2 linked regions of the Lepisosteus oculatus genome follow. The protein of the gene in region 2 purifies or fractionates together with the protein of the main gene of each other region. This does not show direct contact. Links are inferred from orthologs where the notes say so. Each region holds a gene or a part of one and is shown on either strand. Other genes may lie near its edges.

Region 1 (4,718 bases), on a different chromosome or scaffold from region 2:
ACACGCCTCTCACAATACCCACAGAAAACATTTATTTTTCATTCCCACAACTTGTTTCTATTGTAAACCTTAAAACCTAAAGAACACACCCCCTACAAAAGGAAAAAATAGATAAATATAAATACAAAGTATGTGATGTATGCAGGAGATAATCATGTAATTCTGACCTTGCTTTATGGCTTTACTTGCATACATATTTGCTTTTTAAGTGTTTTTTTAATTAAGGAAGATTGCATGCTGTGCCAAATGTGGGGTGGAGCGGTGGCTCTGTGGCTAAGGATCTGCGTCTGTGGTTGGAAGGTTGCCGGTTCAAATCCCACGGCCGGCAGGAATCCTACTGAGCAAGGCCCTTATCCCTAGCTGCTCCAGGGGCACTGTACAATGGCTGACCCTGCGCTCTGACCCTAAGCTGTCCCTGCCTGGGTGTCTCCTCAGTCTGTCCTACTCAGGCAAGAAAGAAAATTTCAAGACTCCAAAAGTACAGACTTTTTAGTCACAGTCATACCCATTACATAAGAATACTAGAAAGATCACAAATGAAGAGGAGGCCTTTGGGCCCATCTAACCCATTTGGCAGTTAGTAGTTCATTTCTTCAAGGAAAACGGGTTAAAAAACATGTCTGAGTAGTTTGTTCCAACACTCCCACAACCCTGTTGTGGATTCCAACACAATGGCATGGATTCTGAATAGATCGCTGCTGCACCTACCTGGGAGGAAAAAGTTAGAGGAAGATTTCACCCTTTCGTCTATGATGAGACTGCTGTACATTTCTGATAAAATGCCTCCTTATCTCAGTGCATTCCCCAGTGGTATCTTGTTCTTTTTACCCACCAGCATCAACTGAACCCCATGTAATACTGATTTTATCACCAAGACTGAGACTTTCAGCAATAATTTAATTGACATTAATGTGTCCGAGTTAGGCAGCATATCATTTCAAGGGAAAAAAAAAATATCTTGATATTAAGCCAGAAAAGATTTTCCTCATGAGTGTATGCATGACTTGGCAGTCTGTAAAGAGCTTGTTCTTTTAATTATGAAAGCTAAAGTACATGGAGGGTTTCAGTGTTATATGAACTTAAGTCCTAAATATTTAATTTATTTTTTTGTGAGCTGATACTGTAACTATAACATGTAAGGTGGGCTGTTCAAGAGATGAGAGGGAATTAAGCTTTCCACTTGACATGTTTTTGTTGGAATTAATTCTAAAGAGTAATATTTTATTTGTATTTTGCAGTTAACAGCATCTCAGAAAAATGTCTCAGAAAATCTCTGTCTTAAGAGTAAACTCCTACAGGAAGGACAGATATCATGAAGTAATATACTGTAGTAATACTGTATTTGGACAATTTCTCAGATGAGTACGTTTTTTAAGACAGAAAAGATTTCAATGTTGGAACTTTGCAAAGCCACCAAGAAACACCAATGGCCTTGGTAAAACGTCTTTACAAATAAAGCAGTACAGAAACACAATCAAAGAAAATAAAAAATCACTGTGTAAGGATAAACATAACAACACCCAGAACTGTGAAGCACAAATTATAAATCATAATTTGTCTGTAGTTTAAAAAACATATTCATAACACTCAAATCATACTAGTGGTCAATATACTCCAATAGATCTAACAGATCTATAAATCAATAACCTTTAGCCTTGGATTTTGACATGTCAAGATCCAGGATATCGTAGTTTCTTTGCACTACATCTGGACATTTTTTAATTAAAATCACAAATTTAAACCTTATTTTCATAATGCTGTAAAAGCACTTTAAAGACCGTACTAATCACATGGAAACCCCGTGTACAAAAATCACACCAAAACCAAAATGAATGTTCATACCAGATGAAGAACCGAAACCAGTAACCCTTCTGTATCTCATGCTGGACGTTTTTAGTTCTAATAGTAACAGAATGCAAAAAATACAAAACGTCAACACATACCCCTGAATATATTCTCGTTCTTTTGTGCTACATTTCTTACAGTTTGAGACCTGCTTCAGTAATCAGTATAAAATTCACAATGTGGATCCTACCGGAAGCCACTAAGAAGCTAGTCGTTATTCATCTCGGTTTTTAGGTTAAGGACAAAATTAATGGAATAAATCGGGGGGACACTGCTATTGACTCATGTTAATGTTTGAAAGAATGTATATGCAAGGGCAGTAAATTAAGAATATGACACAAATCGTCTGAATTAGTAGTTTACGAAACCTCGAAGCAATTTTAAATTCGGACTTCACATAATTTGTCGCAAAAGGGTCATACGGTCATACGTCAAAATTTTGAAAAGGTTTTATAAAGTATACGCCTACGTGTGCTGTAGTAAAATATACATTTGAACTCTCATACAGTACAGCATCCTAAACGCATGTGATAACAGGAAGACAGCACTCATCAGACGTTTAAAACCTAGCCATATTTAAAACGTGTTTAAAACATGGAATTGATCAATATTTGTTTCTACTTAAACGATAAGCACAAACTAGGCGCTTCGTGGCATTTCTATATAGAAAAAACACGCACTTAGGGAAGCTAAAGCGCCGAGCTTCAGCATGTATTAACCAACACGTGATGAAAGACAACGTCGCCTTTCTTCCAAACACGATTTTTTACTATTGTTTGAAATACCACTGTCCAATGTTTTAAGTACCGTTTTGCTACCCAGTTCTGCTAAAACTGCTTTTGCCGATGCCAGCTTAAGCGTAAAAACAACCCAAAGCACAAACATCCTTATTCAATACGGGATTTCAACGGGCTTCATCTCGTTCTAAAGAGAAATACGAACAGCAATTTTGTGATAAACACCCCTTAAAAAAACTTCAACCACTCCCGTGTTTTATTAATTCCAGTACGGCACTTGAGCTTTGTTGTTATGTACTAGCTGTCCGGTTCCGTGTTATGAGAGCGAATGAAAACAAATCGGGTTTTTTATATAGTTACCTCACTCGAGTGCCGTGTGCATCTCCTCTTCGCTCGGTACCAAAAAATTCAATCCGCAGCCGCGCACAAAAGGCCAACAGGGGTATGCGGATTGGGCATTCTCAAAAGGATAGTGCGCTAAATTCGTAGAGCGTTCTCCGATTGTTCCCCCAATGCAGTTCACGTCATTTACGCTTCGTAGCGGTACGGAAGGCACACGGAACCTGCGACATGTTATGGCTTTCTTCTTACTCGGCTCTCTGCATTTTTTTACGTCATGACGCAGGCTCATGATTTCACCATTGCCCCTCTAAGTAGGAAGCGGCAAGCCAGTTTTTCTGTGAATATAGTGTCAGGTGAGCTCGGAGCTGTGTTGAATTCATACGCAAACTTCGCAGGCAGATAAGCCAAGTGCATAAAAGGAAGGAGATGGGAGTTGTCAAAACTCTCTCCAGTTAATCGGGAGAAAATATTGACAACCGCGTGTGAAATTATGTCATTGAAATGAACTTCACCAGACTGTCCTTGCTTAATCTGTTTATTCCTCTGTTTTAAAGAAAATAGAACACATAAACATTGGTTTATTTACGTCTGGATTAACAATGATTTAGTTTTGCAGGCACAGTTAGATGAAGCCTAACATTTGTTTAGGAAATTGTGCATTTCCCTACGTAATTTCCTCCGGGGCTTGTTAGAAATCAAAACGACTTTTCCCTATAATCAGTAATAAAATAATTCCTTGTCACTTTGTTTTCCTCCAGAATTGCATTTCTAAAATACATCTATTCAAAGTATTTTGGTGATGAAATGAAACCGCATTTTTCAAAATCAATACACAAATTAGAAATTACGAACATCTACGTGCATATCCAATAGCCTACTTACAGTAGACTCTAATGGAACAGTAGAAACAAAACTTTCCAGCAACACCCACCATGTCTAAACCCATGTTTTGTACCATAACAGGGCTTAGGCCATTGAAAGTTCTTGCTAAAATCATTAACGAGTCAATTGAGTTCAATAACAGATCTAGGAGGGAGCAAAGATATGCACTGGGATGGACTGGAGCTGGTATTTACCAGAACTATATATATTGTCTTTCCGAAGAAAACAGAATACCAGAACGTTAGCAGCGATGGTCTTCACTCACCCTGGTTTTCTGTCACTATTTTGTTGAGTGTTTTTTAATATTTTTGATCTCCTTTTTTTTCAGGAGAGAGGAAAGGTTGGGTCTTTAGGGAAAAGATTGAAAACGTTAAAAAAATGTCAGTGTCAAAATGTGGGGAAAAAAACTGCAGATACAGTATAAGTGCAATTTGCTACTGTTGTCTAAAAAAAAACTATTCGAAATCCAGGCATGTATTAAGGAGCATGAAAGAGATGCTGTAGAACACACCTGCTGGGCTGTCAAATCCTGGACTTCGGACACTATAGGCTGTGTCTGCTGTCTTCTGACCTCTGTGTCTGCTGTCAACCTCTTATCAAGAAAAAGTGTCAGAAACAGAGCTCTGTAAAACTTGTTGATTTGTAGTCAAGGTCACAATTTCTTTCTGCCCTTGCTGTCAGACCCTTCCTCCCTCCTTTTTGACTCTGCCTCTCTCTCTCTCCTTCCCCATTTCACTGTCTTCCCACGTGTATTTCCATGGAGGTGTAATCCTAGCAGACACATGCTGCATATCTCTGCTGTACTGTTTTAATTACCATCTTTGTGCTACTGTACAATAGAAATTTAATTAGCAAACAGTTGAAAGTTGAACACTGTGGATGAGGTTAATAATGTAAGGCCATCTGTACTGA
Region 2 (4,718 bases):
TAGGCTTTCAGAGAACATCCTAGAGATGTTAGAGCGACATCCTGCCTCTACAGACTTGTCACCCAACAGTCCAGCTTGAAGTGTACACACGCCTCTTCCTTCCATCTCTTTCTGCATTATTCCTGAGCTGCCGTTTCAGTCACCGGACCTCTCCAGCTGGCTCTGTACAGCTCGGGTCGAGGCTCGGGGACCCGCCATGGTGACTGCACCGCTCTGTTCCTGAACCAGCTCCTCCCACTGCTCGCCTCACGGCCGACCACAGCCCGAGCTGCCGCGCGGACGGCCACCTGCTCTTACGTGTAGTTCCTCCGCTGCAGCTGCCAGGCCATGGGGGCCGACACCTCGGTGGCGTAGACCTCCTGGAAGTGGGGGCTCATGACCTCGGTGACCCCACCGTCCCCCGCCCCCAGGTCCAGCAGCCTGCGGGCCCTCCACTCCGGGGGGATCCGGAGGAGGCTGCGGAACTGCTCGGCGGAGAACACAAACATGGAGCCGCGGCCCAGGAACCTGGCCAGCGAGAGAGAGCGAGAGAGAGCGAGAGAGAGCGAGAGAGAGCGAGAGAGAGCGAGAGAGACGAGCTGAACCTCTGTCGTCTTGACCAGAGAAGACTGCAAGGGGACCTGATGCCTCAACAAAGCTGTGTGCTGATTGTGTTGTATGAAAATGCCCTGCGATGCGTTCGTGTCGTAAAAAGGTCTGTGCCGATCGTGTCCGGTCTGGCGACACTGTCATTCATCGGTCGTGCCAATAAAGCTGGTTGGATTGAACTGAAACGGAGCGGGAGGCACTTCTTCACCCCAGGGGAGGTGGAGGGGGGGGAGGGGTGGTGTAACGAGCCACACGGCTCAAGCTGGCGAGATCGTGGGTCCTCTGGGAGGGCTAGAGGGGCTCCTCTCGTCTAGAGGCCTTTCTCACGTCCTTAACGGCGAGGAGACAGCGAGCCGGGCAGGGTGGGCATGGCCGGGGTAGAGGGGGCGTGCAGACATGATCCTACACACGGCAGCTTCACAACACTGGAACCCTCAGCCCAGCACAGACACCGCGCCTGGCCAGGAGGGCGACAGGGAGATGGGGGGCGGGGGAGACAGAAGCCCGGCTGGCAGGAGGGCAGACGTACCCGTTGATGGAGGTGCGGGAGAGGAAGGGGCTGAAGAGGGTGGACATGAAGGAGTGGTAGAGCTGCATCAGGAGCCAGCTGGACTTCTCCTCGCTGCGGCTCAGGAAGGCGCGCGTGTCCTCATCCAGGCGGCTCTGAACGAAGGCGGGCCGGAGGGGCTCGCCCAGCAGCTCCGGGCAGCACCGGTACCACTGCGGAGACACCCGGGCCCAGACATCACCAACACGGCGCTGGCTCTCACAGGGCCCGCTCTCGTGCCGGGCACGACACCCCAGAACCCGGCCTGCGGGCCTCGGAGAGCAACAGCTCGGGTCACTGCGTCTGCCTCGCTTCCCAGCACCAGTGCAGCTGGCGCCGTGGAAACACGTCAAGCACGAAACCCTGCGAGTTTTAACACTTGCAAGATTCGAAATTACCGCCGGTGTGCCTTATTTGGCACCTGGCATGACCCTTGTGAACAGGTCCTGTGGCCTGATGAAGCCTCCTGCAGAGCCTGAAAAATCACAGCTTTTCAGAAGTCCCCAGGGGTGACACAGGCACAGGCCTCACAGCCAGGCTTCAGTCTCATTACTGCCCGTAACGCAAGGCTTGTCTTTTGCGTTTGGAGGAGAGGTGTAAACATTCAACCACACTTGGTGGTTGTGCCTCCCTCAGCCTGCTCATTCGAACACTTTCTTCCAATAAATGCATAATAATGAATATATAATGAATCACTGCAACTCCTACATTCCCAATCCCTCTCAAACCTGCTCAAGGGGGCGATTTAAAAATCTGCCAACAACACTGGTTGAAGCCCAACGCCGCCCTACTGGCATCTACTGTTAAAATAAAGCTAAAAAAAAAAATAGGAGTAAAATGAAACTTTACAAGGAAACGCCCAGGGTGTGGATAAACTAAGGAAAACAAAAGTACAACAACATGCACAACTTCACGCAAAGCTTAATTTGCTTAAATTAGCAAACAACTCTCTGCCCCCGTCCCCAGCCCCACATGTAGCCCACTGTCACCCCGGTACCTCCTGAGAGCCGTGCGGTCCCGTTTCGCTGGCCATGTTGACCAGCAGCGCCCTGGCCAGTGGACTCCTCAGGTATCTCCCGGTCCACATTTCCCGTATAACCAGCAGCGAGACGAAGTAAAAGAGCACCCAGACCGCAAACAGCAGCCGCCTCATCTGCAGACAGAAAGCAGACCGAGACTCAAAAACTAGAGTCCTCGACTCCTGCCAGACCTTCCGAGCAAGCAAAGCGTACCGACCTGTACATGCTGTTGGCTTTGAAAGGTGACATGTTGTTACTGGACCCTCCACTTCAACCGTAAACTAACTTGCTCGAATAAACCTTCTTTCAACAAGTAAGCCGGTGAATCTGTTCCACGTTTACTTCCTGTGTCACACTTAATTGCGTCCCCACCCTTTAAAGTTTCAAGTCTTATGCACTCACTGCATGAGCATTAAACGTTTTGCACGCATTTTCAGCGATTTTGTTTTTGCAGAACAGCATTTAAAGAATAAACAAGTTTAGTCTCAGCTGGCATTTTAATTACTACCACTTAGGTATGTTCATGTTATAACTGGAGATTTAATTTCACTTGACAAAAACTTCGACTTGAATAGATTGCGTTCCTACATCTTTACAATATTAATAAAGACCTAAATAATTCAGTTCCCATTAAATCACATGTAATTAAATCACGTTTCCACGAATCCTAGAACCGAAAGCGTCATTTCAGATCGAGTTTTTTTATAGAATTTTATTTTTAAATCTTTCAAACATTCATGAATACAATTAAAATACAAAACCATGAAACACTTACGGCTAAAAAACAGTAAATAAATGCTTTTTATTGTCCATTTCATGAGTTATACTTCTATCATTTCTGCAGGAGTATTGGTTTGATTGCAGAATGACCTTTGTACAGCAGCCCCAACAACAAACTGTATTTAACATAGACTTTCACCGACAGAGGTAGTAAGAGGAACATCCGGCTTCGGGTTAGTACAGGTATATACCGGTCACGTTTATCTTGTTTTATTTCAAGCCGTATTACACTGAAAATCTCAACCCCGAATTAAGATTACGGCTTTAAAAATATGAAGCACAGTGTGGGCAGGAGAATACAGTACAATGCAATGATCGCTCTGCAATGACTACAATGAGCCCCCCTGTGGTGTTGCAGAACACCTTGTTTTTCTCTGCGATAAACCTACACCTTGAAACTCCTCATTGCACACACTACACACGCAGAGCAGGCTGGGCCTCCAAAACTCCACCCGAGTTTGTCTCGTCAGGATCTTACATTTTGGTGGTCATCTTATGTCACCAACGTCTGTGTGTTTTTTTTTAATTAAATATTTTCTGCAGCACCCACTGCAGGTTAGCTCCCAAAATCCCAAGGCAATTATATAGCGAGCGACACAAAATTAAACATTTCCTGCAGAATTCATAATGAATATAGGTATATGTCTTCTGCATGTATTCACAGCTCACAGAATGAACACTAGAATTCATGTTATTGTCCTTACTTGGTACAAAGGAATGGAAGGTCATCATAAAATCTAATCAAATTCTTAAAAGTTTACCCCTATTTTCTGCAATTATACTGCAAATAAAATGAATATTTATCTATTATTTGTAATACAATAACCCTGTAATGATGCAGTGCTGTGTGAATTTGTCAGGCAATGCGATGTTCTGTATTCAAAGCAGCTCTTTTTCCCCTTTTTAAACAGGTTCTTCAATGGCATCTCTCACTGCTCCATTCTTGGTTTTGAGTCGTTTCCTTTCCCAGAGGTTGCTTTCACGGCACCGGACTGCTTGGCTGTTTCTCCTGGCTGGTGTTTTTCTCAGGGATCGCATGGCTCCCTGCTCTTCACACACTGCTGAGCGCTGATCCGCTGCCCCTGGCCTCGCTCGACACACTGGTCTCACTGTTCGTTCGCTCGAGACGACTCTGTAACCTGGGGCCCGGCCACGACTGCGCGGCCCCCCCCCCAGCAGGGACGGAAAAGGCACAGTGCAGGTGCAGCCACAGCCCTCAAAACTACTGGAGGACAGGCTGCTTGTGACCGCGCAGTCAAGAGCTGTGTGGAGAAGCACTTGACTCTTCCACGGGCTTCTTGTGCTTTAGTGCCACACAGCCCACAGAGTTCATGGGGACACGATGGGACCAGACACCAGCATTCAGAATCCTCAAGGGCATCGACAAAGCATTCCCCAGCAGTCACCAAGCAGAGCAGGCAAGTGGAAGCTGTGCAAACTAGTTTAAAACAGAGAACAGGAGCCACCTCTTTACCCAAAAGGTGGTGGGAGTCTGGAACAGGCCAGCCAGCTGTGCTGTTGAGGCCGGTACCCTGGCACCTCTCAAGAAGTGGGTAGACATGATCCTCCAATTAGAACAGGCATCACTTCTTTACTCAAAGGGTTGTAGGAGTGTGGTGCCAGCCACCCCAGCCATCTTGTTGAAGGCAGTACCCTGACTTCTTCCAAGAAACAGCTGGAAGAGATCTTCAGATCAGTTAGCTACTATCAAAAGGGCTAGATGGACCCAACAGCCTCTAGGCTTCTGTAACTTTTTGTACATTCTTATGGTATGCTACACACTG

What was found. The genes of interacting proteins can lie anywhere in the genome.
Region 1: the proteins of mettl9 (region 2) and slc39a10 purify together in Homo sapiens (co-immunoprecipitation; 3 studies listed by BioGRID and IntAct, with this or other methods). This does not show direct contact. The link is inferred for Lepisosteus oculatus from reciprocal best matches to the Homo sapiens genes METTL9 and SLC39A10.

What each region holds. Positions count from the first base shown.
Region 1 is NC_090707.1:10,323,534-10,328,251, forward strand, and holds the start of slc39a10 (zinc transporter ZIP10), read right to left. Parts: upstream 3,271-4,718; 5' UTR 2,943-3,270; intron 1-2,942. UniProt on the Homo sapiens protein: Zinc-influx transporter. When associated with SLC39A6, the heterodimer formed by SLC39A10 and SLC39A6 mediates cellular zinc uptake to trigger cells to undergo epithelial-to-mesenchymal transition (EMT).
Region 2 is NC_090714.1:16,660,310-16,665,027, reverse strand, and holds the start of mettl9 (protein-L-histidine N-pros-methyltransferase), read right to left. Parts: upstream 3,021-4,718; 5' UTR 2,930-3,020; intron 2,521-2,929; exon of another isoform or gene 2,372-2,520; intron 2,289-2,371; coding exon 2,133-2,288; intron 1,309-2,132; coding exon 1,118-1,308; intron 774-1,117; exon of another isoform or gene 508-773; coding exon 298-507; exon of another isoform or gene 1-297. UniProt on the Homo sapiens protein: Protein-histidine N-methyltransferase that specifically catalyzes 1-methylhistidine (pros-methylhistidine) methylation of target proteins.